7 linked regions of the Coturnix japonica genome follow. The protein of the gene in region 6 purifies or fractionates together with the protein of the main gene of each other region. This does not show direct contact. Links are inferred from orthologs where the notes say so. Each region holds a gene or a part of one and is shown on either strand. Other genes may lie near its edges. The genes, in order: EED, IGF2BP3, HDAC1, SRPK1, EZH2, DDX5 and SNW1.

The links.
Region 1: the proteins of DDX5 (region 6) and EED purify together in Homo sapiens (affinity purification with western blotting; 3 studies listed by BioGRID, with this or other methods). This does not show direct contact. The link is inferred for Coturnix japonica from reciprocal best matches to the Homo sapiens genes DDX5 and EED.
Region 2: the proteins of DDX5 (region 6) and IGF2BP3 fractionate together in Homo sapiens (co-fractionation; 3 studies listed by BioGRID, with this or other methods). This does not show direct contact. The link is inferred for Coturnix japonica from reciprocal best matches to the Homo sapiens genes DDX5 and IGF2BP3.
Region 3: the proteins of DDX5 (region 6) and HDAC1 purify together in Homo sapiens (affinity purification with western blotting; 5 studies listed by BioGRID and IntAct, with this or other methods). This does not show direct contact. The link is inferred for Coturnix japonica from reciprocal best matches to the Homo sapiens genes DDX5 and HDAC1.
Region 4: the proteins of DDX5 (region 6) and SRPK1 purify together in Homo sapiens (affinity purification with mass spectrometry; 3 studies listed by BioGRID and IntAct, with this or other methods). This does not show direct contact. The link is inferred for Coturnix japonica from reciprocal best matches to the Homo sapiens genes DDX5 and SRPK1.
Region 5: the proteins of DDX5 (region 6) and EZH2 purify together in Homo sapiens (affinity purification with mass spectrometry; 4 studies listed by BioGRID, with this or other methods). This does not show direct contact. The link is inferred for Coturnix japonica from reciprocal best matches to the Homo sapiens genes DDX5 and EZH2.
Region 7: the proteins of DDX5 (region 6) and SNW1 fractionate together in Homo sapiens (co-fractionation; 3 studies listed by BioGRID and IntAct, with this or other methods). This does not show direct contact. The link is inferred for Coturnix japonica from reciprocal best matches to the Homo sapiens genes DDX5 and SNW1.

Annotation. Positions count from the first base shown.
Region 1 is NC_029516.1:170,394,337-170,398,920, forward strand, and holds the start of EED (polycomb protein EED), read left to right. Parts: upstream 1-1,608; 5' UTR 1,609-1,632; coding exon 1,633-1,755; intron 1,756-4,584. UniProt on the Homo sapiens protein: Polycomb group (PcG) protein. Component of the PRC2/EED-EZH2 complex, which methylates 'Lys-9' and 'Lys-27' of histone H3, leading to transcriptional repression of the affected target gene.
Region 2 is NC_029517.1:28,564,987-28,568,990, reverse strand, and holds part of IGF2BP3 (insulin-like growth factor 2 mRNA-binding protein 3), read left to right. Parts: intron 1-2,989; coding exon 2,990-3,274; intron 3,275-4,004. UniProt on the Homo sapiens protein: RNA-binding factor that may recruit target transcripts to cytoplasmic protein-RNA complexes (mRNPs). This transcript 'caging' into mRNPs allows mRNA transport and transient storage.
Region 3 is NC_029538.1:4,502,202-4,505,362, forward strand, and holds the end of HDAC1 (histone deacetylase 1), read right to left. Parts: coding exon 3,038-3,161; intron 2,918-3,037; coding exon 2,771-2,917; intron 2,669-2,770; coding exon 2,620-2,668; intron 2,535-2,619; coding exon 2,507-2,534; 3' UTR 899-2,506; downstream 1-898. UniProt on the Homo sapiens protein: Histone deacetylase that catalyzes the deacetylation of lysine residues on the N-terminal part of the core histones (H2A, H2B, H3 and H4).
Region 4 is NC_029541.1:496,502-501,291, reverse strand, and holds the start of SRPK1 (SRSF protein kinase 1), read left to right. Parts: upstream 1-1,791; 5' UTR 1,792-1,806; coding exon 1,807-2,083; intron 2,084-2,166; coding exon 2,167-2,227; intron 2,228-4,790. UniProt on the Homo sapiens protein: Serine/arginine-rich protein-specific kinase which specifically phosphorylates its substrates at serine residues located in regions rich in arginine/serine dipeptides, known as RS domains and is involved in the phosphorylation of SR splicing factors and the regulation of splicing.
Region 5 is NC_029517.1:75,450,657-75,455,422, forward strand, and holds the start of EZH2 (histone-lysine N-methyltransferase EZH2), read right to left. Parts: upstream 2,970-4,766; 5' UTR 2,920-2,969; coding exon 2,861-2,919; intron 2,385-2,860; exon of another isoform or gene 2,173-2,384; intron 1-2,172. UniProt on the Homo sapiens protein: Polycomb group (PcG) protein. Catalytic subunit of the PRC2/EED-EZH2 complex, which methylates 'Lys-9' (H3K9me) and 'Lys-27' (H3K27me) of histone H3, leading to transcriptional repression of the affected target gene.
Region 6 is NC_029533.1:7,253,866-7,256,883, reverse strand, and holds part of DDX5 (probable ATP-dependent RNA helicase DDX5), read right to left. Parts: intron 2,924-3,018; coding exon 2,782-2,923; intron 2,687-2,781; coding exon 2,526-2,686; intron 2,361-2,525; coding exon 2,188-2,360; intron 2,000-2,187; coding exon 1,889-1,999; intron 1,681-1,888; coding exon 1,619-1,680; intron 1,532-1,618; coding exon 1,472-1,531; intron 228-1,471; coding exon 3-227; intron 1-2. UniProt on the Homo sapiens protein: Involved in the alternative regulation of pre-mRNA splicing; its RNA helicase activity is necessary for increasing tau exon 10 inclusion and occurs in a RBM4-dependent manner. Binds to the tau pre-mRNA in the stem-loop region downstream of exon 10.
Region 7 is NC_029520.1:35,692,318-35,695,963, reverse strand, and holds part of SNW1 (SNW domain-containing protein 1), read left to right. Parts: intron 1-633; coding exon 634-750; intron 751-1,080; coding exon 1,081-1,222; intron 1,223-2,664; coding exon 2,665-2,761; intron 2,762-3,646. UniProt on the Homo sapiens protein: Involved in pre-mRNA splicing as component of the spliceosome. As a component of the minor spliceosome, involved in the splicing of U12-type introns in pre-mRNAs.

The sequences.
Region 1 (4,584 bases), on a different chromosome or scaffold from region 6:
GAGGGAGCATGAGGTCTGTCATGTTGAGAAAGAAGTCCTCCAGAAAATCAAACAAGGGAAGGCAAAGACCAGTTTGGCCCAGCAAGTTGATGATGGAGACTGAAGGGTTTTGCTGACTGATTCTGGTGTGGGTGGGAAATCTTCCTGTGTGCAGGCCAAGAAGCACAGCCTGACTGGGGCCCTCACTTTCCTTGTGTTTGGGATGAGCTAGTGAAACGTGGAGGAGCTGAATGTGTAGCTGGCCATCTGGAGGATGTCAGGTGACAGCTGCAAAATGAAGGGGAGCTGTCTTCTCTCCATTAGCTCAAGGTCATCCGTGATGAGAAGTTAAGAACACTCACTGCTGAAAACTCCGTGCCCGCCCTTCATTTCTAAATCACAGTCGTGATTTAGTCTTAATTAAGATGCCAATCTAAAAATATCCCGTCATATTTTAAGAACAAGTCAGTTCATTCTCCGTGTATGTCCTCACAAAGGTGTAAAACGCTTTTATCACAGCCTTGATCTTAGTGCATGAATTTGGGCAGCTGCAAGTTCCCAGAGCTTTTATTAATTGTGATCTACAGCCTTTTGGTCTGTATTATACACTGCACCAGTGGAGCCTACAGGAGGGACTATTGCTAAAAACACTACAGTACACACACCAGCTTAAGCACCTCTCCTCCCCCTTATCTCTGAAGTTCATGCCAGATTAAATTGTAGATACAAAGGCAAGGTTCACTTCTGTCACTGCCCTCCAAGAAATCACTTTGCAAGGCTGGAATGCCTCCTCCAGGGAGGAAAGCTTTGGTTTTTCTTCTCTGAGAGAAGCAGATAAGGCACTGTGCCTGCGGGCAGATTACTTCCCCTATTTATCAGATATATATATATACATACATACATATATATATATATATGTTTATATATAGGTTTTGTTTTTGTTTTTATTTTTTTGTTTATTTTTTGGTTTATTTTTGTTTGTTTTTTGTTTGTTTTTCCACTGTTCGTTATTATTATGACTCTGGGACATGTGATTTTAGGAAAATAAATAAAGAAATAAATCATCATCTGGCAACTGCAGTATTTAATTTACAATCTGCAAGTGGTAGGAACTTGCCATGGGGCATTGAAACAGGCCATTTTTTCTTCTCTCCCAACAGCATTTTTTAGATGAAAGTACTTTTTTTTCCCCCTCATTCCAGCCCTGCCTGGGTGACAGGGCAGGGAACAGACACCTCATTTCTCTATAGAGCATTTTGGAGAGCAAAAGAACCAAAAACGACTTTGTGGATGAGGAACTTTGTGCTCCTCACAGGACACAGGAGCTGTGGTAACCAGAACCTCGGGCTACTTTATATGCCACGAACGTGCTCGAAAGTGCTGGTCCAGGCCACAGATAACGGTATAAAGTGTCATTATGCTTTATTATGTTCATACATTCGATTATAAATAATAATAATAATAAGAGTAATTAATAGTTGAGTTAATAGATGGGCGACACCGCCCGCGCGACGCGGGAAGGCGGATTTTTCAGCAGTGTGGCAGCTGAGGGGCAGCCAAGCGCGGTGCTGCTTTACGGCAAAGCATTGCGACGCCCCCCCTGCCGCGCTTTACGGCTGCGTGGCGGTGGGCGGTGGGCGGTGGGCGGGGAAGATGTCTGAGCGGGGAGAAACCCCGGCGGCGGCGGCTGCATCGACGGGAGAGATGCCGGCTAAGAAGCAAAAGCTGAGCAGCGATGAGAACAGCAACCCCGGGGATCTGTCTGGAGATGAGAACGTGAGGCTGAGTTGGGGTGTAAGCGGGAAGGTGGCGGTGGCGAGGCGGGAGCATGAGGCAGAGGGGCCGCGCTTTACCCCGCGTGCGTGAGGGAGAATTGGAGGCCCTGAGGTGTGAGCGGTTTTCAATGTCACTTTTTAAGTGGTTTTTATTGCGATGTAGCGAGCAAAAATCTGTATTTTAGGTATATCTGTCGTTTTTCATCGCTGCCTCGGTGTGGGGTGTTCATTAACACGTTGCTCGGTGTTAATTTGTGCACACAGAGTTTTGGGGAAATGAAGGAATAGGGGGGAATCACAACGTTGTAGGGGTTGGAAGGATCCTTTGGAAACCATCCAGTCCGACCCCTCTGCTAAAGCAGGTTCCATGCACTTGTGTGCTCATAAGTTGCTGTCAGCAGGAATTGGCTGTAAGGGATGAAGGCTGTTACCTCTCAACTGCACTAAATCAGAGTATTTAAACCAAAGGTCGTGAGATTGATTCCAAGTAACTTAACAGCTGAAAAGATCAACTGATTTGGGTCTGTACTGAGTCTGGTCTTGTTCAACATCTTCATCAGCGACCTTGATGAGGGGATAGTGACCACCCTCAGCAAGTTTGCTGATGACACGAAGTTGGGAGGATTGGCTGACACGCCTGAAGGCTGTGCTGCCATTCAGCGAGACCTGGACAGGCTGGAGAGCTGGGCAGTAAGAAACCGGATGAGGTTTAACAAAAGTAAGTGTAGAGTCTAGCACTTGGGTAGAAATAATTGCATGCACCAGTACAGGCTGGGGGAAGACCTGCTGGAGAGGAGCTCTGCTGAGAGGGACCTGGGCGTCCTGGTGGACGACAGATTGAGCATGAGCCAACAGTGTGCCCTTGTAGCCAAAAAAGCCAATGGCATACTGGGGTGTATTAAAAAGAGCGTGTCCAGCAGGTCGAAGGAGGTGATCCTCTCCCTCTACTCTGCCCTGGTGAGGCCTCATCTGGAATATTATGTCCAGTTCTGGGCTCCCCAGTACAAAAAAGACAGGGAACTCTTGGAAAGAGTCCAGCGGAGGGCCACTAAGATGGTGAAGGGCCTGGAGCATCTCCCCTATGAGGAGAGACATAGGGAACTGGGTCTGTTTAGCCTTGAGAAACAAAGGCTGAGAGGGGATTTGATCCAGGTTTATAAATACCTGAGGTGTGGGAGCCATAGTGGTGAGTCTGGTCTCTTTTCAGCAGTGCGTGGGGATAGGACTAGGGGTAATGGTATGAAAGTACAGCATAGGAAGTTCCGCATGAATGTGCGCAAGAACTTCTTTACAGTGAGGGTGACGGAGCACTGGAACAGGCTGCCCAGGGAGGTGGTGGAGTCTCCTTCTCTGGAGATATTTAAGACGCGCCTGGATGCCTACCTGTGTGACATGGTGTAGGGAGCCTGCTTTGGCAGAGGGGTTGGACTCGATGATCTCTAGAGTTTCCTTCCAACCCCTACAATTCTGTGATTCTGTGTGATCGTCTGAGCAATCTGGTAGTCGGTTTATGCAGTTGGTGAACTGGGGGAGTTAATGACATAGGAGTTCTGCATGGTGTCTTTCTTGGTTAGAGCACTCAGTATGGGCGTTGGAGCACATTGCCCATAACCTGTGCAAGAGCAGCTGCTGTTGAGGTGCTGCGTGCCACTGCTGCTGGGCCTTATTCACTGAACATCACTGGACATGCAGGCCACACGTTTGTCATTCAGCTTCTGCAGAACATTAAGGTCATCGGAAGGGATAGAGAAGGAAGGAGGGGCTGTGTGGTAACTGTGTGTTAGGGATTGTTTCGGTGTTTGGCACAGGCTGCCCAAGGAGGTCATGGAGTCACTGTCCCTCAAGGTTTTCAAAAAGAGTAGATGCGGCACCGAAGGATGTGGTTAGTGGGCATGGTGGTGGTGGGTTGATAGTTGAACTAGATGATCTTAAATGATTTTTCTAACAGAATCACAGAATTATCAAGGTTGGAAAAGACCTAGAAGATCATCTAGTCCAACCATTACCAATACTTCCAGGCTAAATCATATTCCTCAGCACCACATCCAAGCGTTTCTTGAACACTCCCATGGTCGGTGACTCCACCACCTCCCTGGGCAGTGCATTCCAATGCCTGACTACTCTTTCTGAAAAGTAATACTTCCTAATGTCCAGCCTGATTCTCCCCTGACGCAGCTTAAAACCATTCCCTCTAGTTCTATCACCGATTACATGAGAGAAGAGGCCAACCCCCAGCTCACTGCAGCCTCCCTTCAGGAAGTTACAGAGAGCTATAAGGTCTCCCTTGAGCCTCCTCTTCTCCAGGCTGAACAATCCTTAATGATTTGTGAATCTGGGTGTGATGTGGTGACAGAGGCTCTCAGGTTTGCTTTGGTGTCTGTTATAGGCTGTCTCAAAGGTGGAAAGTCTCCTTCTAAAACTTTGTTATGAGCTTTGTTGCTCCTGAAAGGCCTGGATTCTCCTTAAAAGTGGACGTAACAGTGTTGATTTGCAAGAAGTCTCTTTTTTCATGGAATCATAGAGTAGTTAGGTAGGAAGGGCCCTCAAAATCATCTTGTTCCAACCCTTCTGCCATGGTCAGGGTTGCCAACCACTAAATCATGCTCTAGATCAGGCTGCCCAGAGCCCCATCCAGCCTCGCCTTGATCACCTCCAAGGATGGGGCATCCACAGCTTCTCTGGGCAGCAGTGCCAGCACCTCCCCAGGTACTCCACAGGTATCCTGAAGGCATGTTTGTTGGTCATGTTTTAGTTGTAGTTACGTGGTTGTATTTTGTTATACCAATATAATGTGTTCTTGTATTGACTGCATCTGATTAGTCCAGAGGAA
Region 2 (4,004 bases), on a different chromosome or scaffold from region 6:
CTTGGCAGAAGGGAGTGGATTTAATGTGTCTTTTGGTGCAAAAATGGCAATGGGGTGGCACAGTGGGGCTCTTCTGTAGCCTTGACTAAAGTCATGCAGAATATCTCATAGAAATGCTTGCTTCTAAATTGCTTTTAAGCAGAAAAACTCATATTCTTTCCAGAGGAAGTGCGGTATATGTCAATTGTTACTGTATAATATCTGTTGTGACAACATGATATGTCTGTAGGTTGGCTGCAAACAAAAGCCTAGTCTTTTCCTCCCCTGTTACTTCTGAGTGGGATGCTGCTTGCACTGATTTCATGTAGGATTTTGTGAGTGCTGGGGTTCTGGTCTAGGATCTTTTAAAGCCAGAGGAGCTGGAAGCGTTTTAGGAAAGAAGCAGTGTCTGAACTTGTCAAATGAATGCATGGAAGGGAACGAGCTGGTATGAATGTCAATCTGCTGCCTACCAGCATGTTGGCAAAATGGTTGGTGCTCATCTCTTCAACACCTTGAGGTTTGATTCCAAAAGAAACAAGGCCTGGGCAACTGCACTGGCTGATGGTGCCATTCCCCTTCCCCACAGCTCTTCTCTTTCTTGGCTGATTTCAGAAGAACTCAAACCATAAATAGAGGTTGCAGATATTTGCAGTCAGTGAGAGCTGTCTTTCAGCTTACATAAGACTTCATACCCCTTCCCCAAATAATATCTCCACCAAGAGAGCCTTTGGTGAAATACCTTTTCAGTGTTGCTACTCCGTGCTGAAGCTCAGACTTGAAACTTGCTGTCCTGTGTGTTTGTCTCTCATTAGTTGTACTGCTTAGTCTTTTCTGTTCTTGTAAACACAGCATTTTGTGTAATAAAATGCTCTCTGAAGTCTGTGGAATAGAAGATCAGAAATGTCAGTTTTGTAATGGCCTCGGCAAATTTTAATCGAGCTCTCTTCTGCCATATGCTGTAGGAGATTCTCTCATTATGGGAGCAATTACACTTCCATTCCATTCCCAGAGGACCTCTGTCTCATTTGGTGAACAGAAGTATTTAATGAGCAGTGATCAGTTATTCAATATTTTGCTTTCCTTGTTGTTCAGTGGGGTTGCCTTAGGCCTTATTTATTATCAACCCTTATTAAATGCTGCTCCAAAGACAAGAATTAATTTTGTCAGCTCTTTACTGTCCTACTGGAGAGTTTCACAGACACTGGTTTACTCCCTGAGATGTGACGGTGTGTGTTATCCTCCTTATTCAATCTGAGGGTCATTGTCCCAGTACAACTTATGGATGTGGCTGCTGCTCTCTTCCAGCAGTGGTTTGAGGCCAGGGGCCTGATGGTCGAGTGGGACACCTTGGTGGTGAGCAGTGCTTCTCTAGCTGCCCTTGGAAATGGTTGGCCTTGTATCTCTGTGGCAGACTAAGGGGTAAAGCTGTCATGGGGGGCAAACGAGATTCAGTTTCTGTGTCTCCAAGACCTTGCTACAAAGTGCATGGTTACTATGAGCTTTTTAAAAGAAAATGTTGGTGGATTCCTTAATATGCTATACAAAGCTCCCTCCCTCTCACTAGTGTTTTTAATTTAACCTTTAAACAAAATCTCTACAATTTTTTTGTCCTAGATTGTGCCCAGCATTCATAAACTACCCCCAAATCAATGTGTGTTCCAGTGATATCAGTATATCACATTGCCGATAATGTCAGTAACATGCCTTCTGTGGTGAAACTAAAACTTTTTCAAATAGCTGCATGAAGCTCATACTAACATGTTACCAGTGTGCTGTGGGTAGCTTAGTTACTCGTCCTGCTTCCTGCATCTTCTATTTTATTGACATTTCCTCTTCTGCTTGCAAATGCGAAGTCTTCTACCTTCCAAAATCTGTTGCTTTTGGCCCAGGAGTTGTAGAGAAGTGGCTCGGTCAGGTTGATCTGTGCATGTGGAGCCTCCTTGCTCAGTTGAAATGCCTGTGTTCAGATGCTTCTCCCTCCTGTCAGTAATATCATAATGTCCTCCGCATTACAAAGGGGCATAGAAGCTACCTTATTTGTGGGTGCTGCTTAGAACGTATGTGACCAGGGTATTTTTGTGTTAGGTAAAATCACCTGCTGCAGTGTGCCTGACCTTTGGTATTCCTTCTAGTGGAAACTAGCAATGATTTGCCAACTGATCCATAAAGAAATTCAGATTTAGAGCTTCCTGTAGCTGGAGGCCTCTTTTAGATGTAACCATTGTCCGAGTGGCCTTCAAGTGTTTAGTGCTATATTGAAGACCTGCTTTACTCAGTGTAGTGGGATGGTACGGTCCTAAGGGCAGAATAGAGCTTGAAACACCATATAAATGCCTTCAAAACACCTTTGCATTGATCCAGAGCATCAATGATGTTTTAGTTTTAATTTGCTGGTTAACTTTTAATCCATAACATGTTGGTAAGCTGATGTTTCAAGTGCCGTTGACTGGCTTTGAGTACTTTTTCTCCTGCCGAGAACGAAGCACAAGCTGTTTTTCCTATCTATTTCTGTCGTAGCCATGTCAGTTAGTGCAAAAAACCTCCAGCCAAATAGCTGTGCTGGCAGAAACTCTAATGAAGGTGCTGTGATATCAGCTAAAGTTTTCCCTCTGGTGCAGCTTTAATTCTATTTGGGAAACTGATTTAAATTACAGCAGGCAAAAGAATGCTTTTGAGTATATAAGCCCTGTCTCCTGTGAGGTTTTGCTGATAGGGTTGTACCAGCAAAACCTTTAAAGTGCGTGGAAGCCCAGAGCAAGCAAGAGCTAACTTGTTCTTAATACGGTAACTTTTACTTTATTCAGTCAAGATTTAGATTTAAAATATATATATAAATATTTGAAAATAAGCTTTTACCCAGGAACCAGACTTTTGGCTTTTATTATTTGATTTGGGACGTGCAGAAGGCTGCACTTGAATGAATTCTCATTCTTAAAAGGTCTCACCGTGACTTCTATTTTTTTCTTTTCCCCAACACCCTCCTCTTCTCCCCTTTGCAAACAAACAGAGCAATAGAAAAACTGAACGGGTTTCAGCTTGAAAACTATTCCTTGAAAGTCGCTTATATCCCCGATGAAATGGCAGCACAGCAACCTCCACAGCAACATCCCCAGGGACGACGTGGATTTGGACAGAGGGGCCCTCCAAGGCAGGGTTCACCCAGCGCAGCCACGCGGCAGAAACCACAGTCGGACGTTCCTCTACGGATGTTGGTTCCCACACAGTTTGTTGGAGCCATTATTGGGAAAGAAGGAGCAACCATCAGAAATATTACAAAGCAGACTCAGTCCAAGTAGGTTATAAATGTGTCATCTTCTGTGCTCTGTGTGTGCTGTGCCTCAGTTTGTGTTTCTGAAGGAAGCTCAACCTTACGGATAGAAGAAGGGATTCTTTTCCTTTTTTTCTTCTTCTTTAAATCTGGAATATTTGTGTTACTGAAATGTTCTTGGTTACAGGAAGGGATTGTCTCCCACTTCCCCCATAATGCTGTTATATCCTTTGGAAGGCTGCTGTTTCCTCAGCAGTATCGTCTTTGGAGACCAAACATTTTCGTTCCAGGTTGTGTAATCAGTGTTGCTTTCTGTTCTGGGATGGCAAGTAGTCACTTTAGGAACATGTAAAGCATGTACAATTTCACAACAAATGAAAATAAGTGCAAATAGGAAATTTTTGGCAAGATTGAAGAACTTGATTCTGCCCTTGATGCGTGTTCAAATACTTGCTTCTTTTGTTTCCAGTTCACTTTGAATGAAATTAGGCAGTGCTGTAGGATGATGCTGATGCCAGACTTACTTAGCAGATGTAATAATAAGACTCTGGGAACAAAAAGGGAAACTGAAAACTGAAATATATTGGTCTGCAAAGTGTGTAGGCGGTGTGGTGACATATCCAAGCCTTTAAGTGCTAATTGTAGCTTTAGTCTAATTCAGTTACGGGTGGGGAGCTGGGAGCAGAGAAAAGAACCTTCATCTCTCTCTCCCTTGCACCTCATTCTGATGTATTTAATGTGAATAAATTCTTTG
Region 3 (3,161 bases), on a different chromosome or scaffold from region 6:
GCGTGCAGCACATCCTCCTATGGACAGAAGGCCACGTACAGGCGGGATCCATCCCCATTGATGGTGGAGGGAGGGATAAAAGCCCAGTGCTTGCAATGTGGGTGCTGTGCTTTGTCGGGGTGTTGTTCCTGCTGGGCTCAGTGCACCCAACTGAGCTGCAGGGCTGAAGGAGCTCCAGCAGAGCGCAGCGGCCGTGCAGACGTGGCAGCCATTTTAAGGCGGCCGGGGAGGGAAAAGGGATGCAGCTGCACGTCGGCGTGTAGGACAGCAATGGGGCTGGGAGTGCAATGGGACTGAGTGCAATGGGACTGAGTGCAATGGGACACATGGCTGCTCATAGAGCAGGACGGCTTTAAGTGTGAGCTGCAGCTCCTGGGGCATCACTGCAGCAATGAAGGGCTGTGGCACTCGAAGCTTTTCCTCCTCTCCTTATGAGGCAAAACCACCCGGCTCATTTAATCGTTATTTTTCTAATTAATTGAACAGCAGATTGCAAATAAAAACCACAACCCAGGCACTCATGCAAGAAATAAGCACCCAAGTGCTTTAAAGCGCCATGTAACCCATCGTCTCTATGGATGATCATGGTTGCCTTCAGCAGCAGGCAGTGCAGCATTAACAGCACACAAAGGGCTGCGATGGGAACGGCCCCGTGTGGGATTGCAGTGTGTGTGTGTGTGTTGGGGGCTGAAGGCTGCGCTATAAAATTGAGGGAAATAAAGGGAATTTCAACACCTGCAGCAGGATCTGCTGCACGCTGCATGTTCCTACACACTGCTTTGGCCCTCAGCACTCAACCAACACATCCACGTCCATCACCCTATAGCAGGGGAGGCTCCTCTTGCAGCACACTGTGACTCCACCCCGCGCACAAAGCAGCTCCAGCTCAGACCAACCATAGAAATGGACGTTTTATTACAAAGGTTCTCCAAATTTAAAATAAAAGCATCTTTAAAAAACCACAATATATTTCCCCCCCTCCCCTCCCCAGGACACAAAGATGCACCCATCCCTCTCGCTTCACATACAAACACTGAAGAGCGGGAGTGAGACGTCACTCGGGTTCCAAGAGGCTACAAAAAACTGATGGTGGAAAAAGGGAGGAAAAGCACGTAAAAAAATAAAACATTTCAAAAATAACCTGTGTTAAGTTAGCAGCATTATTAGAGTTGAAACCAGCAGCAGCAGCCCCGTGGGAGGTACAGACCCTCTTATGGACAGAGGAATCGCCCTGAGAAAGGAGAGCAGCGAGTCACAACTGCCTGCAAAACTTGTGCAAAGCTGGAGCTCTTGGTGGAACGCTCATCTCACGCTCAGCTGTACAAAGCAAGGTGTGAGAAAGGCCGGCTCTGAGCACAAAAGACCTTTGGGTGTGAGATAACGTGTGGGAGTAGGAAGAGGAGTAGTTCTAGAAACGTACAGAGCCCCATCTGCTGTTCCCTCGTACAGATAACAGCGCTGCCTGCTGATAAAAGGCTCTCAGCATTTACTGGCCTTGAGAGCAAAGAGAGGGAAGGATCCGCTCGAAAACGTGCCTGCTCCAGGAGGAGATTCTTAGTAAGTGGCACGTGGAGCAGAGGCACCAGCTGGGCCCTGCCCGTCTGTCCTGCTCTGCTGTGCTTTCAGCAAGGACACGGATCAGCACTGAAGCAATTACAGCACGTGTAGCTGAGGGCAGCAGCAGAGTGAAGCAGGCAGCCAGGTGGGCAGTAACTCACCTCCCCCCTGCAAAGAGGGGCACAGCTCTAGGAAACGAGTGTACAAAGACACACAGCGCTGCCAATGGGATCCGCCACATCCCGGGAAGGGTCCATCCCCACAGCTCTCTACCTGCAGGGCTCTGGGCAGATTCACTCCATCCACCTCCTGATCTGCCTGTCAGCTGTTTCACCTCTCTCCACAAGTCTGCTGCAGGAAAGTAGCCAACTCTGTCCAAGAACTGCACTATTTGACCCTGAGAAGCGGCACCGGCTTGTAGTTATTGCCGTGGTGGAATCAGACTGAAGACCAAAGGACGCTCCGTCTCTCACAGGCTTCATTTGGGAATTCACATCTCCCACAAAAACAAAACAAAACAAAAGAGAGAGAAAAAGGAAAAGAAGCAGAAAAAAAGCAAAAGCTTCATGGCCATCTTCCCACCTAACCTGAAATGCAGATGCTACTTCTACTTAAATTATTCATTCTTAAGGGCGGTTACTTCAGAGGAGAGCAAAGAAAGGAAGTGATTCTTTCTTAAAGACACACTGAGGAGCTGGTGGGAGGCAAAGAGCAAAACTTCCCAGTTCCAATGCTGGGCAATGTGGGTCTCTCTACTCTGCAGTCCTCCCTGCCTGCTCCCAGCGGAGTGCAGCGAGGAATAATTTACAGTTCTCAAGTCATTTATATATTTATATAGAAATATATACAGAAACATATATAAAATATAAATCCTGTGGAATGGGAGGCAACCGGAGAAGCTAACCTACGACAACCACGCACTGACAGGCGCCGTCCAGCCGCAGCCATCTTAGGTGGATTTTGCCTCTTCCTTCACCCTGTGGAAGGAAGCAGTGGAGAATCTGGTTTAAACAAATACAAACTCAGACAGTGAAGTGCCAAGTCAAGAGACACCGTGCTCACCCCTTGGGTTCAGCTTTCTCCTCTTTTGCTTTTTCCTCTTCTTTCTCATCTAGGAGAAAAAAATAAAGGCATGGGAGGGCAGTAGGAAAGCACACATCAGGCAGTGCTCTACACAGCTGGGAGGGCTTCCAGCCATAGCCCTCGTGCTTACCCTTCTTCTCCTCCTCCTCCTTTTCCTCTTCTGTTTTCACACGTTTGGCCTTCTTAAAGTTGGCAACGTTTTTGCGCCCTCCTTCCCCTTCATCTTCGGAGTCAGAGAATTCTTCATCACAGGATATTCTCTTATCAGAATTGCGGACTGAGAGTGAAGGGGAGAAGAGGTCAGAAGATACTGCGCACTAATGCTTGGAGATGTACAGGCTCTGTGCAGTGCACTTCCCAGCAGAGCAATGCAGCCATGCCAGAGGCAAGCACCTACTTGAAATGCGCTTCTCAGGATCTTCTTCCTCTTCATCTCCACTGTCTTCCTGAACAGCATCCTCAGGAATTGGCTGCATCTGGACACCAGGGGCATGAGGCAGCATGCGCAGATTCTCAAAGAG
Region 4 (4,790 bases), on a different chromosome or scaffold from region 6:
GAGCAGAGCTCAGTGTCTTTCCTTCCTACCACAAGACTGCAGAGTGGAACACTGGGGGACAGCTCGGACATCAGCGTGTTAGTTTTCAAATTATGAGTATTCTTGTTTCAAAACAAATACTTCACTGGGAGGAAGTTCAGACAAACCTGGTCGTTTTCCTCTAGAGCTGTACAGTGCCTCAGCTCCTGCATGCATACACAATGCTGCTGTGATTCACCAAGCACAAATCCCTGGACACAGGCTGTGCAGTGACAGAGCACGTACTTTATGGCCAAGGACTCCACCTGTACCTCTAAAGTCAGAGTTGAAAGGCCTGCCTGCAGTAGTGTGTTTGGAGGCAGTTTGATGTTTTCACCTGACCTAGTTGCAACAAATGCAGCTGTTTTGTGCAGACGGCAACTTTCTAATGTCCTTCTGAACTAGTATAAACCCATGACGTTTTCCTAGAAAGGCATGCTGCAGAATCCCAGGCAGCTTTCCCACTGTGCTGAATTACAGGCTGCAGATCCCAGAACATCACCATGCAAAGTGTGTGTAACATTGCCAGCCGTGTTGGCATTTTCTCAACATATTCCTTTTTTCACACATGGCTGCAGAAAACATAAAGCAGTAGAGAAACCTCAGGAGCTGCCCAGAGTGTGGCACAAACAGTTCTTAGGGCAACAGGATGCACTGTGTGACACTGTGTGGGAGCTATGAGGAAGGACCAGGTAAACTGGTTATGTATGGGCATAGTTTGTGGTGGCATTTGCTCTGCTTCAAAAATGAGTGCCAGGCTGGCTGTGGAAAGGTGGCTGTGTTTGGGCCACCAGCCCTCAAAGGGCCGTCTCAGCATCCCTCTGAGGGCCAAATTCACTGAAGTGTGATGCATAGTATTGGACAGGGGTGTGAACATGCGCTGTGAGGACCAACTGCAGAGTCCCAGTGCAAATATGGGACAACAGTTCCCACAGAAGGAACAGGCAGCCAATACACTGAGCTTGCAGCAGTGTTTGTGGTCTATTGCGACTCCTTCAAGGAAGGAACTTTCTTATGTGGCTGCTGTCAGATGTGAGCAGTGTACTCCATCGTGCTCAAGGTCTCAGTGTTACTTGTAGCACAGTCGTTGTGGAAGGCTGAAATTTGAGAGTGAGGGCATCCTTCTCCACGTCGCATCATTGAATTTAATTCTGCTCTGACACTAATGATTATTCCAACCCACATTTCTGATGCCAAGCCTACGAGGGCAGCTCCAAAAGTAATGCCTCCTATTTTGTTACATTGGGCCACGATGCCAAAGGCAGATAGTGGTGGTATGGCAATAGAGGTTCAACCTTCCCTGCAATGTTCTGTTACATTTGGTCAAGCACGACATAGCAGCAGGGGGGCAAAGTGATGTGTGTGACACGAGAGTGCAAATGAAGCCAAGGTGTGTCCCTGAATTCCTCCGGGTGGCAGACATGGCACTGCTTGGCACTCGTTAATGTTTATGGGCACTGAGCAGTGGCTGTGAGCACAGCGTGGGGTGCGTGTCAGTGGGTCACCTCTGCTGTTGCAGATTGTTGTGGACACGGCAGGACAGCTCTTGTTTATCACAGGCAAAAACGCTCAGCTAGTGGCATTAACTATACCGAAAAGCAGCATTTTGTAGGTGAGAATTTGCTCTATCAAACATTATTGTGCTCTTCGTACGTGTTGAAGCGGCCGTGGAAATAAATAGGATGCATTACTTTTGGAGCACGCGTCGGTTGCTGACGTCACAACTACGACGATGACGTCACGCGCGGTGTTCCCCTCCCTCCGCCGCGCGCGCCGCCGCGCGCCACGATGCTTTCGCGCCCGCAGCCGTCGGAGCTCCGCCCCGCGCCGGGCGGGAGGGGGCGGAGCCAGCAGCGCGGCGGGGCGGGCTCCCCGCACAGCTCCGCCTCCAGCGGGGACAGCGGGCACGTGGACGGGGCGGGCGGCGCTGCCGGGCGAAGCGCCAAGCCGCTCGCACCGCGCATGCTCCGCCCGGCGCGGCTCGGCGCGGCGCAGGGTCACGGCGCAGTGCGCAGGCGCGTGGGACTCCCTGGGCTCCCGGCGCTGGCGGCCATGGAGCGGAAAGGTGAGCGCCGCGCGGCCTGCGGGGGGGCCTCGGTCCGGCGGCTCCGCGCCGTCCTCACGTTCTTTCTGTCTCTTTCCTCTCAGTGCTGGCGCTGCAGGCCCGGAAGAAGCGGACCAAGGCCAAGAAGGACAAGGCCCAGAGAAAGTGAGTGCGGCCCCGCTGCCCCTCCTCACCCATCCCGGACGGGCTGCTCGGGGCGCTGGGCCGCTCGTGGGGCGGGAAACGGAGCCGCTTTGTCCCGGTACCGGAGCCCCGCGGCCCCTCCCGCCGCTCCCGGAGGTCTCGCCCTCCCCTCACGCCCCTTTCTTCCTCCTATTAAAATCCTCCTTGGCGCGGTTACGTCGCTCTTTGACGGTGCTGTTTTCCCGTGGCCGCCCTCTGGCCGCAGGGATGTTACGGGGCTTTTCGTGCGCTGAGCTTCACCGCGCGGATAGAGAAATGGAAGGATCTGAACAATGGCCGGCTGCGGGGCTCGTCGCACGCTGCATTCCGTGCTGCACGCGGACCCGGTTCGGGTGTAAAGCCCGGTCCGGTGCTGCGTGGTGCTGGGAGCGCTTTGCTGTCCGCTGGGTGAGAGCACAGAACTGCAGCGTGGTTGTGTTGGAAGGACCTTAAGGATCAGAGAACCACAGAGTAGGTAGTTGGCTTGGAAAGGCCCTTAAAGGTCACAGCCCCATAGAATGGTTGGGTTGGAAAGGACCTTACAGCCCCTTCCGTGCTGTGAGCCGAGTGTCCCCTGAGCTCAGGCTGCCCAGGGCCCATCCGTGGCCTTGAGCACCTGCAGGGATGGGGCACCCGCAGCTCTGAGCAGCAGCCAACACCTCACCTCTCTCTGGTGACGGATTTCTTCCTAACATCTCAACATAAACCTGCCCTTCTTTAGTGCAAAGCTATTCTTCCTTGTCCTGTCACTATCAGGCCATGTAATGGTTCCTACATAAAAGCTTTGGTGGTGCAGGGAGTTCTGTGTATCTTTCTTTACAGCGTGTTATTAGTCACTTCCTCTGACAAATCGTGCTGTTTTAGAGTTTTTCTGTTGCTTTCTGTCTCCAACAGACTTCCAGTTGTTCTGAGAGAGCTCTGGAGAGGTCAAGGGCTGAACCAAGCTCTTTGGGAGATGTGCATTGTATTTCTACGTATGTACTTTGGGCTTTACCTGGTGCAATAAAAGCTCAACCTCCAGCTTTGAGGCACAGCACCCCAACAGTTATGCTATTTAAATACAAAGCGGCTCTGATTAAATCTAAAATAAGCTTTACTGGGTTGTTGTAAGGCTCCCTCCATAACATCTGGGCTCGAAGCCACAAGGAATGTCTCTTTAACATCTTATGTTCAGTGATATTTGATTGCTTACAAGCTTTTCTGTATGAAGTTAGTAAGAAAGTGTAGCACACGTGAGTTTTGAAAGGGTGAAATTGGTGTTAGGAATTCTCTAGTTATGGTTAAACATAAAAATACAAAACTAAACAGTTTATGGATTGAACCATCAACCTTTCAAGCAGCTGGATCTTGAGGTGCGTTGAGGTCAATGGTTTTGCCTGACTGTCAGGAATGCAGGTTTTGGCATGGCTTCATTGTTTGAAGCAGTTTCTGACCCCTGCAGAACTCAGTGCTGGCAGGCAGGTGTGTTGGGCACAGCATTTGTCCCCTCACTGCAAGAAAGACATCAAGGCCCTGGAACATGTTCAAAAGAGGGCAACAAAGCTGGTGAGGGGTCTGGAGCACAGGCCTTATGAGGAGAGGCTGAGAGAGCTGGGATTGTTCAGCCTGGAGAAGAGGAGGCTCAGGGGAGACCTTATAGCTCTCTATAACTTCCTGAAGGGAGGTTGTAGTGAGCTGGGGGTCAGCCTTTTCCTCGTGTCGTTAGGGATAGGACCAGAGGGAATGGCTTCAAGCTGCGGCAGGGGAGATTTAAGCTGGACATTAGGAAGTATTACATCTCAGAAAGGGTGGTCAGGCACTGGAATGCACTGCCCAGGGAGGTGGTTGAGTCACTGACCCTGGGGGTATTCAAGGAACGACTGGATGTTGTGTTGAGGGACATGGTTTAGTGGTAATGGATGAATGGTTGGACTGGATGATCTTCTAGGTCTTTTCCAACCTTGGTGATTCTATAATTTGAACAAGGGTCTGGAGCTGTGCGTTGCTCCTTTGTGTTTGCATGTTGATTTTTCTCCTGTGAACTAATCCCCACATTTTCGTGCTCTGGTCTGCTGTGAGCAGTGGGGAGCCATGCAATGGCTGTTCCAGCAGCACAGGCTTCCATCAGCCACAAGGTGGCTGCTGTGTGTTCTATGGAGCTGGTGTGCTGGAAGCAGTGCAGGTGAGCAGCAGGTTTCTGTTTGGCTTCTGAGTCCTCGGTGGTGTTTGGAGGGGGAGCGTTGCTGGGAGTTAGCTCTGCAGACAGAGCAGCTGTTCCTGGCTGAAGCGAGGCTGGCACTCACCACTGTTCTGTTGGAGTGTCATTTCATGTACTGTAAGTCTTGCATCATGTGAACGAAAGCCCAGGAAGTGGGAAGATAGATACAGGTGGGAAGATTTGATACAAAACAGCTGCTGTTTGACCAAAAATACAAATGCAGGTGTATTTTACTCACATCTCTGGTAATTTGTAATGGAATTAAGCACAATGGTAGTATGTATTTTGCTGGCAGTTGTACTCTGTGGCTCTTTCTATCTGTGTCACAGGCTCGGATCACCAGGCTGT
Region 5 (4,766 bases), on a different chromosome or scaffold from region 6:
TTTTAGACTAGTTTTCAGAGGATCTCTGAAACGCACCAGCTTCTGTGTACACTGTTGGCGTATGTGACATGCAGCTCATTCTGACGTATGTTGATTCACAGAAAGCAGCAGTTAGTTTGCACTCTCCATATATACAATTAGTACACTCACTAATGTACTACAAGAATTCCCTACTTGCTAAGCCAAAGTTTCCTTGTAGATAAGCTGAAGTACATTTACATCTCACCTACAAATGCCATATCATAGAACAAATATAAACCCATTAGAAGGCATATTTCCAACAAAGTCACCCACGATATTTCAACTCATTGAAAATTCTAGGTAGAAGAAAATACCATGTGGAAAGCAAAAAATTTTGAATTTCTAGTCTCCAGCCTAAGCTTATAGACTATTGCTTTATCTGATTTTAAACTGAGCAAAGACTTTTAATGTTCTTCTGCCAATAAGTATTTTCAGTGTATGTCACTTTCAGAGTAATATTTTAGAATGTCTAAAAAAGTATTTTATTGCATAAAACTTTTGAATAATACCTCCTAAAGTACTAGAACCGTGTTTTCTGAAAGACACTGTAAGCCTTATCTATATTATTATGATCTAATATAAAGCAAGGATAGCTACCATACACTGTGGACAAGTAATACTCACCCTTCTGAAGATGCGTTATTGTTATCACAATTAAACATTCCCTGAACTCTCAATTTGATACAGACACTGGGGACAAACAAAGAATGACCTTTTAATTTTTACAAGTCACAAAGAACCGGAATGTGCCAAGCCCTAAAAATAATAATAATAAATTAAAAAATAATGGAAAAAAAGGGGGGTGGGGTAGGGGGAAAGAGGAAAAAGAGAAAAAGAGAGAAAGGACTTGTATATGAGGAAATCTCCGTTTAGAAGTTTATCGTGTACTAAAAATACCAGTAAAGTCTCGCTGAAGTACTGAACGGTTGGATCTGCAATTGCTCGACTTGCACAAAGACAAACCTATCCTGCAACAAATAAACAGACCAAACAAAAACAAAACCAAAAAACCAAACAGAGAAAAAAACCAAGGCCCTAGTTCCAATGAAATATACTGTTTCATAACTTTGAAAAAGTATCTTGAGCCAGGTACAGGTTCATTATACCATTTTTGCTACATTATGCTGAGACTGCTTTTCTTTCTGCCCATTCCTAATAATTTTTGGATGTTCGTACTTAACACCAGATACACATGCGTTGCGCTACAATACATTGATTTCATCACCTTTGTCTGATCACACACACGCCTGTTGCTCCAGCACAACTCCGTCCCTTTCACACCTCCCCAAACATGCCGATTTCAGAGATCGCCCCACACACCCGCGCTTTGCGACATTAGGTCTCCAACTCAGCAGTTCCAGCTCCCTCCGAACTCTGGAGGGCCGGTTAGCCGAGCAGCGCCCTTCCCGACGAGGAAGTTGGCCGGACAGATTGACTCCCGCGCCGTCCCCGCTCTCCCGCACTCGGTGCCCGTGAAACTCGCCGGGGGCTGGAGAGCCCCGTCGCAGACTGGCCGGCGGGACGGCAACGTGCGAGGGCGAGAGTGGGAACGCTCCGCTTCCGGGACACCGCGGGCACATGGGGCTGCCGCGGACCTACTCGCACCCCAGGGCGGGGGCTACCGCCGCGTAACAACTTCTGCACCGTGCTTCTCTCTCGGAGGGGGCTGAGGCGGACAGAACGGACTTGTCTTCGCGTTTCGGACTCACCGAGACCTCACCTTGCGTACGTTTAACACACGGATCCCCCCGCCGACCCCTCAGCGAAACCGTGCCAGAGGCAGCCGCCACCACAGGAGGCCGGCAGGAACGGGGAGGAGAGGAAACAGCCGGCTCCTACCCGCTCTTTCTCCCGCACGGCGCCAGTCGCCCCCCCCGCCCAAGGCTCCGCTCCGCCGAGCGCGGCGCGGCCAGGATGGACAGAGCCAACTCAGACAAAAGGCACCGTCGGCTCCGCGCCGCTCCCTCCGCTGTCAACGGCTGCAGAGCGGGCGCGAATCTCGCTGCCGCCCCCCACCCCATCCCGTTCCTTCAAGCGCGACGCGGCGCGCTGCTCGGGACCGAGGCGGTCGCGCCCTCCCTGTCTGCCTCCCCACCCCCCATAACAAAGGGAGTCGGTTATAAATAACTGCTCCCGGCCCGCAGCCCGTACGGTGGTTGTGGTGCTGCTGCCGCTGCCGTCCAGCTCACCCGTCCCCTCGCTCCAATCTCGTGCCACCGCCACCACAGCCGCTTCGCTCCCCGACTCTTCTTCCCTCCTGCCTCCGGCTGCCGGATTCACCCTCCCGGACCGAGCGCCAAATACAGTGGCCCAATCGGTAACACGTTCATTGGCGAGAGCCGAGCGCCGCCCCGATTGGACGGACGCGGACGGAGCGCCCCGAGCCAATCAGGGGCGGAGAGGGGCGGGGAGAGGGGCGGGGTCCGTGCCCCACGTGCTGGCGGGAAGGAGGGGTGGGGGAGCTCTTTGTTCTCGCGCTGCCGCCCGGGCTGGCGGTTTTGTGCCCTCTTTGCCCGTCCGTGTAGCTGAGCGGGCAGCGGGTCTGGAGTTTGAGGTGCTCCGGCCGCCGCCTCACGGGGACTGGGGAGGGGAGGGAGGCGAGGGGTCCGACGGGAGCGGGGAGGGGCCTCGCGTCTCAGTGCTGCTGAGTTTGAATCAGTTCGAAAGTGGGAGCTGTAACGGTTTTAACAGTCGTGCTGCTGCTTCCGCGCGCTGCAGAGAGGGGAGGGGACGGGACGGGACGGGACGGGACAGGACGGAGAACTGGGAGAGGCGCGTCTGCGACCAGGCGGGAAGATCCAGGCGGGGACTGGGGGTGTTGTTGGCAGGAGCTGCTTACCTCAGCACGGCCCGCTCCCTGCCCGTCGCTTCCGCGGCGGGCTCTCTCCTTCCCGGCATTGCGCCGTGCCGAGCGTTGGCTGGCTGAGTCACTAACCAGAGTACGTGATGCATCCTCCTGCCGTGTCATCTGACCTTTGCGCACCCAAACCTAGCACGTATCTGTCCTTTTGTTTCACGCTGTTGCTCACGAATTTTGGTGCCTTGCTGTTCTGTAACCAGCATGGATTCTTAACTGTCAAAATCCCATTGTGTCCCATCTTGGCAGTGATGGTAAATCACAGCAACAGCAAGGTGTCCATTCTGCATAAGGCTGGGATCCTGTTGCTAGTGATACACTGTCTCTAGCCTAAGGTTGCTACCATTTTCCCTCGTTTTTATTCTACGACTCAGTCACGTTGACAAGGAGGTACTTTAAACCTCAAGGATTCATTCCCCCTTAGCCTTCTTTTGTCTCACTGTTTGGCCACTGCAGCCCTTCTTTGTTGACTGGAAAAACAAAATTGCCAAGATAAGATCATGGTGGGAAACTTCCATGTATGCTTGTCACCATCTCTCCTTCCTAAGCCTCCTGTGTTCAGCACTACTTCTGAGGTAGAATGGATTGTGAGCCTTGTACCCTTACTGTCTGTTACCAGTGTTTCTCACCTTCCCTTGCAAATCACTTCTGATACATTCAACTACCTTGTCTCATCTTTGTGTGAAGCCCAAAAATTAGCACTGTCCACCATAATGAGGTTCTGAATGATAAAAATCCTATGAGAGAAGATCATTGACACAGCTTCATGCCCAAATCTTTCAGCTGCATTATAGGCCAAACAAGGATCAGAGTTCTTTTAATGTGGAACAGAAATTATTTCCTCTTATGTTTGCATGTCACGAAACGATATATTGTCATACTCTTTCTTTGATTCTACTAGAGTAGATGACCTTTTCCAAGATTACGTTAAAACTATCAACTTTGCAAAATGTCAGTCATTTCTTGAAATTCAGCTATTTAAATCTATTCTGCTCCAAGATGGCTGGCACCACCAAAATGGCTACCCAGTCTCTTCACAGCTTGGAACTTGTAGTTTTTTTATTGTTAGAATTGCACTTCATGAGATCTTATCTTAGTCTATATATATATATATATATATATATACAACTCCTGTGCTAAATAAGCATAGCGTAACTTTAAGCAAGCACTATAGTCAGTCACAAGGTGAAAAAAAGATGTGTGGAGACAACACTGAACTCAATTGCAGTACACGCTTCAGTTTTTGTCTTGCACAGAAAGTTATTCACCTGCTGTACGTGAAGCTAATGCTTACTAGAAAATAAAACACATTTTGAATGGAACTACTCTTTCTGTTTTGCACTCTGTGAAAACAATCTTTCCATGCTGCATTTCAGTTCTAGAAGTGATGAATCCTCAGTGAGGATCTCCACGAAGTGTCAATTTTCTGATCATATGGGCTATTTAAAATAACCTGGAGAATTCTGGCAGCTTGTTTCTTTTTTTCTGCACGTGGATGCTTAATGTTGTAATGAGCTGCTTATAGACTTTCTGTTTTCATGGAGTAAACCACCCAAACATTTTTCTGTTCTGCTGCATTTTCATGATTAAAGAATGCCTGAACACCAATCTGCATTATGAAGAGGCATTTGGACCAGATCTGTGAGCAAAAAATATTACAAAGGTTTCTGGAATAATTATGAAATCTGTTATTCTGATGAGTTGTTATTCTGAAAAGAGTCAGTTCTGGTGGCAACATGTAATAGTTCTGAAAAAAAGTAACTAATGTTGAAGATGTTTATTTTGCTTAACAATCAAAATAGAACTAGACTCTGGAAGAGAGTATCTTATCTGGCTTGGATGCTTCTGGAATTGTTGAAATCTTTTGCCTCTCTTTTACAAAAAACTT
Region 6 (3,018 bases):
ACCTGAACCTCTGTCTTCAATCAACTGAAGCAACTTAGGGTTGATGGCTTGATTAGCCTCCCGAAGCACAGAGATGAGGTCATTTACTTGCTTAATATTGTTAGGAGTAAAGAATGTATATGCTGTGCCTGTTTTGGTACTGCGGGCAGTTCGTCCAATTCGGTGGATATAGTCCTCAGAGGAGTTAGGGTAGTCATAATTGATGACAAATTTCACATCTTCCACATCTGTAAAGTGTTGCAGTGTGGCAAAAAGCGAGGTACAAAGTTTTGCACACCACAACAGCCAAATCGAAGATAAACGTTAGACAATAGTACTTTCAATGAAATAATGGCTGCAAAGAACAGTGTTAGAATTATCCATTTCTGCACGAATATTGTGGAAGAGGAAGATATGCACACTCCGTCTGTTCCCGTCTTATCACCCACCCTGTGATCCAAAACCTTACCATAAAGGAGTATGCATTTGCTTGTCATTCCCAACTCAAGAGTCCCCTTTACAAATCATCAAGTGACATCTGAATGCTTCTTGCAGTAGGGCCACTAAAGCTCACAGCAGCCTCTTCATGTGCTCATTTGAGGACCTTAGAGTAAAAACATACAAGGTCCTTCACATACACACTCATTAGAAGCTCAAAAAAAATGGGCCACACTGCTCGTCTTGCCAAGACCTTTGAACTGCAGCTGCAAGAAAAACATACCTGTCCCCCAAAAGTCACCAAGTTGTTTTTATGCACTGTCTCGTCTAGGCAAGCACTTCCAAGAAGCCAGCGTTCACTTGAGAATGTGTCTCTCTCTGGCAGGTCTCGACATGACGACTACATATAGGTGGAGGAACTTCGACTTTCAAAGGCATTTAGAAAAGCCAATGCTTTCCTGCCCCACTTGCTAAGGTGAGAGGTGGACTTTTGCTCAGATTTCATGTGCCAGTACTCACCAATTTGTACAAGGCTTAGTACGTTTTAAAGCTGCTCTCTCCATTTCATGGTTAGAAAAAAAATTTCACTGAACATTCAAGATTTTTCTTTTCCTCAACATTTCAAACTCACCGAAATTCAAAGACCCACAGATCACAGCAGACAGTATGCACAAAACTAACAGTACTGCACCATGGCAAATCATGCAAAGCATGGAGAGAAGAGAAATACCAGGGCAAAGTGAACTGTGAATGAGGCTGCTTATTTCATGAGAGAACAGTTTATGGGGGAGTAGTTTAAAGGATGAACTTTGCCTTTTGAAGATTACTGGCACACAATGCTCTCAGTTTTCACCTCTCTATTTGACTGGAAGCAGCCAGCCGATCACTTCCACTAGTCCTCCATCCCCCTCGAGTCCTCCGATTGTCATGCCTAGGCCTTGCCACAAAGACTGCACCTTTATGTGAAGAAAACTTAGAAAAATGCAGAGGTTAAAGAAAGCAATAGACTTTCTTTAAATAACTTTGGGCAACTGGCATTACGAGTTGTACTAACCTAGACCTCGGGATGCAACATCTGTAGCAATCAGGATTGGTGCTTTTCCATGTTTGAATTCTGTAACACAAGCAACTCTTCATCAGTCTCTTTGCATCAAATACCAGATAGACAGCAGCCTGCTTACCAAACTGCTGAAATACTCACCATTTAGAACCCAGTCTCGCTCCTGCTGGCTTTTATCACCATGAATACCCATTGCTGGCCATCTGAAAATACAGAAGTTGATTAACCTCAAATAATTGAGTACTTCCATTATTATGACAGCTACTGGGACATTCTCAACAGCTTCTGGATTTAGCCTTTCAGCTGACACCTGGTCAGACAGCTGGACACCATCACAGGTGGTCACTAATTAGACCAAGCGTGCTCTTGATTCTTTTGGGGTGGATCATTTAAGTTCGTGCTTCAACTTACCCATCTCTCCTCATTTTCCTGGTAAGATCATCACAACGTCTTTTGGTTTCCACAAAAACAATTGTCTTATTTTCCTTCTCACTCATTATTTCCTCCATCAAACGAATAAGCCTGTCATGAAGAGATAATGAAACATTCACTACCCACACTGTGCAATTTCTTTCCCCTTTTAACATGGAGGGCTTCTAGCAGTATTAGATTAGCATTTAATACCCACTAAACTCATCTCGGTTGATACAGAAGTTAAATCAACCGTCAGAAACATACTGAGTGTTTTACCTCCCCCAGTAACTACTCACTTGTCGTCCTTCTCAACGTCATGACACACATCAACAATCTGCAGGATGTTGTGGTTTGCACTCAGTTCCAATGCACCGATGTTGATGTGGACATATTCTTTTAAGAAGTCTTCAGCCAGCTGCCTGACTTCCTTTGGCCACGTGGCACTCCACATCAGAGTCTGCCTGTCAGGCTGGAGAGAAAGATTTTATCAGTACAAAATTAACATATCATTAAGTAAAACATAAACACAGAAGTCTACCCAGAAGTCTGAGCTAACTGCGCTATCCTTATCCTTGTTTTAACAAACACTGCTGTTTCTGTAGTACAATTAAATGCAGCTACCATCTATACTCACTCTTATCTGATCCACAATTTTTCTGATTTGAGGTTCGAAACCCATGTCAAGCATTCTATCAGCTTCATCAAGCACTAGGTAAGTGCACCTCCTGAGGTTGGTCTTCCCAGCTTCTAAGAAGTCTATAAGTCTTCCAGGTGTTGCAATGCAGATTTCCACACCTAAAAAAATTACAAGAAAAAAAAAAAATCAACCAGTAAGTCAGATAAGCAGTTTTCGCATCACCTCACACAGATGCATCCAGATTTATCCTTACCTCTTTCTAGATCACGAATTTGTGGTCCCTTTGGAGCACCTCCATAAATACACGTAGACTTCAAGCGACATGCTCTGCTATATTCAGCAGCTACTTGCTGCACTTGCTGAGCCAGTTCCCGAGTTGGTGCCAGCACAAGACACTAGAGGTAAGATGCCCAGATTTAGTTCCATAAATGCAATTTCTAGTCTTACATTTTAACTCAGAAAGTTGTTATACACCACTTCAATGCCAGAC
Region 7 (3,646 bases), on a different chromosome or scaffold from region 6:
AGGAAGGACAAGCTGCATGCACTGATGTTATTTTTCCTACCCCAACACAGCTGCATCACTGGGACTGACACTAATTAGTAGATCAAATTTTAGGTTACAGATGCTAAAACCAAAGCAAAAATGTTGTAGAGTTATCTAAGGGATCTTAAAATATCTATAGATATTTGCAGATTTCAGCAGGCAGCATCTAGAGTCTCTTGCTTTTGCTTACAGCCTTGGCCCTTAATTTCTCATTTTTGAGTCAGCCAGTCTCTTAATAGGTTTAAAAACAGTTCAGGGGAGTCGAGTTTTAAATACAAATGGTAAAACTACTTAGAGAGTAGGAGAGCTGTCATCTGGAATTCTTAAAGCAAAAGGTGGAGCTTATTAATCACAAATTCATTCTCATTCATACTTGAACAAAAAATGTGATCTAGATTTGAGGTGGGGGTGGAATTGCTTATTATTGCCTGGTATGAATTTGGAGTACGTCTAAAGAAGGCCCCTGGAGGGGGGCCTGATGATACAATGAATGATTGGCTGACTTCTGTGATAGTGTATTTTTTTTGTTGTTGTTTTCTTACCCAATAAATGCAATACAAGTTTGCTATTAAAAGCCTTACTAATTTCTGTAACTGCTCATCTCCTCTTTAGGGTTACACCATCCCATTAGACAAGCGTCTGGCTGCAGATGGAAGAGGACTGCAGACTGTTCACATCAATGAAAACTTTGCCAAGCTTGCTGAGGCTCTCTATATAGCAGACAGAAAGGTCAGGTGGTTGTTTAAGCTGTTCTGTTTCATGTGGTTGTACCTTTATTATGTGCTTGATTCCTTGGGAAAATCAGCTGGGAGAGTGCTATAGCTTTTTGGTCTGTCCTGCTTCTAGGCTACTGTAACGTTTTTATCCCCAGTGTGTTTGAATCAGCGGCTCAGTGTGGATTAAATTATCGCAGGTCATGTCTGTTGTTCCTCAGCTTGAATTTTGGTATTTTTCTGGTTTTGAACTTTAACTATAGGACTCAATTCTTCCCATTTACCGTGTAACTCCGGGACAGAAGATCTGCATCCCAGGTGCTAACTAGGGGTCTTATGTGTGCAGGCTCGTGAGGCTGTGGAGATGCGTGCCCAGGTGGAGAGGAAAATGGCTCAGAAAGAAAAAGAGAAACATGAGGAAAAGCTCCGAGAAATGGCCCAGAAAGCAAGAGAAAGGAGAGCAGGGATTAAAACCCACGTTGAAAAAGGTACATTTTGTTGCTGAGGTTCTGTGGAGTCGTTTGGTTTTTTGCACTCTCTGAAGTGTAGGTTTGCAGAAATAACCTGAGAAATTAAAATATCCAAATTCGTTTGCTTAATTCATGGGGATCTGAATTTCAACGTCAGGTTGAAGGAGGTTGTTGAGAAATTGATCACTGTATCAGTACAGTGGATGGATCATTACAACATAAGGGCTTTCATGGACTGTTGTAATTTGATTTCTTTTTCAGAAAAGGCTTGTTTTGACTTCATCTGTGAGCACTAAATGATCTTTAAGTTTTCAAAGATGGTAAACGCAGTATTCTGTCTCTGATGTTGTTATAATTGGTCTTAAGGAGAAGTAGCTTTGGCTACCAGGCTCAGAATCTAATAACCTAACTAAATCATAGCCATTGTGGTGTGTTATGTCTTGATTGAAATGACATTTCAGAGATCAGGGTGCTGAACTTACAAAGCAGTTCTCTTAATGTCACTTAAAGGTGGAGAATGTGGTCATATACTGCAGCTGGGATGGACTAATCTGTTTCCAGCAGTACAGGCTGAGAACTAGCAGGCTGCAGAGCAGTTGTGTTCAGAAGCACCTCTGGGAGTCCTAGCGGACGATGTGCTGAAGAAAAGCTATAGCAGCACGCCCTGGCAGCAGTATTCCTAGGGGTATGCTAAGCTGCATCAGCAGGAGTGCAGCCAGAAGGACAAGGGAAATAGTTGTTTTTCCTTTACTGGTCATCTGCTAGACTGCATCTGGAATAGTGCCCACTTAAGGGACTCTCAGTTCAAGACAGACATTGATGAACAGGAATGAGTTCAGTGGAGGGTCACCAAAATGGCCAGGTGGCCAGAGCATCTGTGTGGTGAGATGCTGAGAGAATGAAGCATGCTCTGCCTGCAGTAGAGAGAGCTTGATGGTAACCTAATGTCAGCCTTCCTATGGAGAGATCAACAGCTACACTGTGGAAGAATGAGATAGTGGTTAAAAGCTGAAGTGTGTGCTTCCACCAGTGTACGCAGAGAAACAGATTTCATCATGAGGACAAAAAACAGTGGAACAGGTTGTCCAGGTGCTTGGAAGATGCCTTGTATTAGAATGACATTTTTATACTAACATGTAACAGAGAAGAGGGTATGACACAATCATCTGCAGCTGTTGGGGATGTTAATTTGTAGGTGGACAAGAATTCTGAGCTCTTTAAAGTTCAGAAAACATAGTTGTTGTGTATGTGTGCTGTAACTCTCTTGTCAAGGACGTTTAATTGCTTGTGGCGTGAGAAAGTTACTGTTCTCCTTTCTAATTTGTTTAAAAAGTAACATATGGTGCTAAGGATCCCTTCTCTTTTGGAAATGAATATTGAATCACTGTGCCAATGTCTGTGCTGTAGTTTAATTCAGACTTGAGTAGCTGTCTGTAATAAGCAATCTTGCATGTGTTCAGAGGATGGAGAAGCTCGAGAAAGAGATGAAATAAGACATGACCGACGCAAAGAGAGACAGCACGACAGAAATCTCTCCAGAGCAGCTCCTGATAAAAGGTGAGTCACAAGCAAAGAAGCTGCTTCATTACTGTACTAGTACAGGATTCCCCACTACAGAAGCTATTACATACAGCTTTCTCCATTTCCTTGACATCAGTGCCTGAATTTTACCTTGTGGAGATGCTCACTGGTGTGAAATGGTTTTATTGTGTTAGAATATGGTGGTGTTCCTGTGATTAGGGTTTATGCAGGAAATAGATTGCAATCATAATATTGAATTAATGTATAGTATTTTAAGTTGAAAGGAAGTGTGGGGCTACCCTGCGGTAAGTGTTAGGCATTGATATAGCACTTGTTTGTAGAATCCATGTCTTTGGAAACTTAAACTTAAGACTATATGCAGTCAGATGTGTCTGACTCAAATGTTGTGAATTTTCCAGATAAGAGAAAAGGTTTTAGTTATTTATTGTCATTTTTGTTGTTTTGGGTGGGGTTTTTTGTGTTCTTTTAGAGGGAGGAAAGGGTTGCTTGGTTTGCACATCTGCAGCGTATTTGGGCTTGATGACTGTGTTCACAGCACAGAGGTTGGTACCTGCACCTTTAGTGAGACCAAAATACAATCAGTGGATTTTCTTGAAACTGTTCATCTAAAGTGACTTTAAATTTATGAACGTGAGCTGAAGCAACTTGTTTGCCCAAGCTGGTGAGATTTCTTGAGGACAAATGGTTTCTGGAAGCTTAAAATCTCTAATATCTTAAAATGAGATTGCCCAGCCTTTCAAGAATGTAATTACACTGGTTTGTGCAAAAAAATAAGTATGACATTTTAGACCGAATCAGCTTGATATAAATTGCAGATAGTGGAAAGTGAATTTAAAATGTCACGCTTAGCCTGAATGTAAGTTTCCCAGATGTTGCCTTTGCCAGGAAAATGTTACCTAG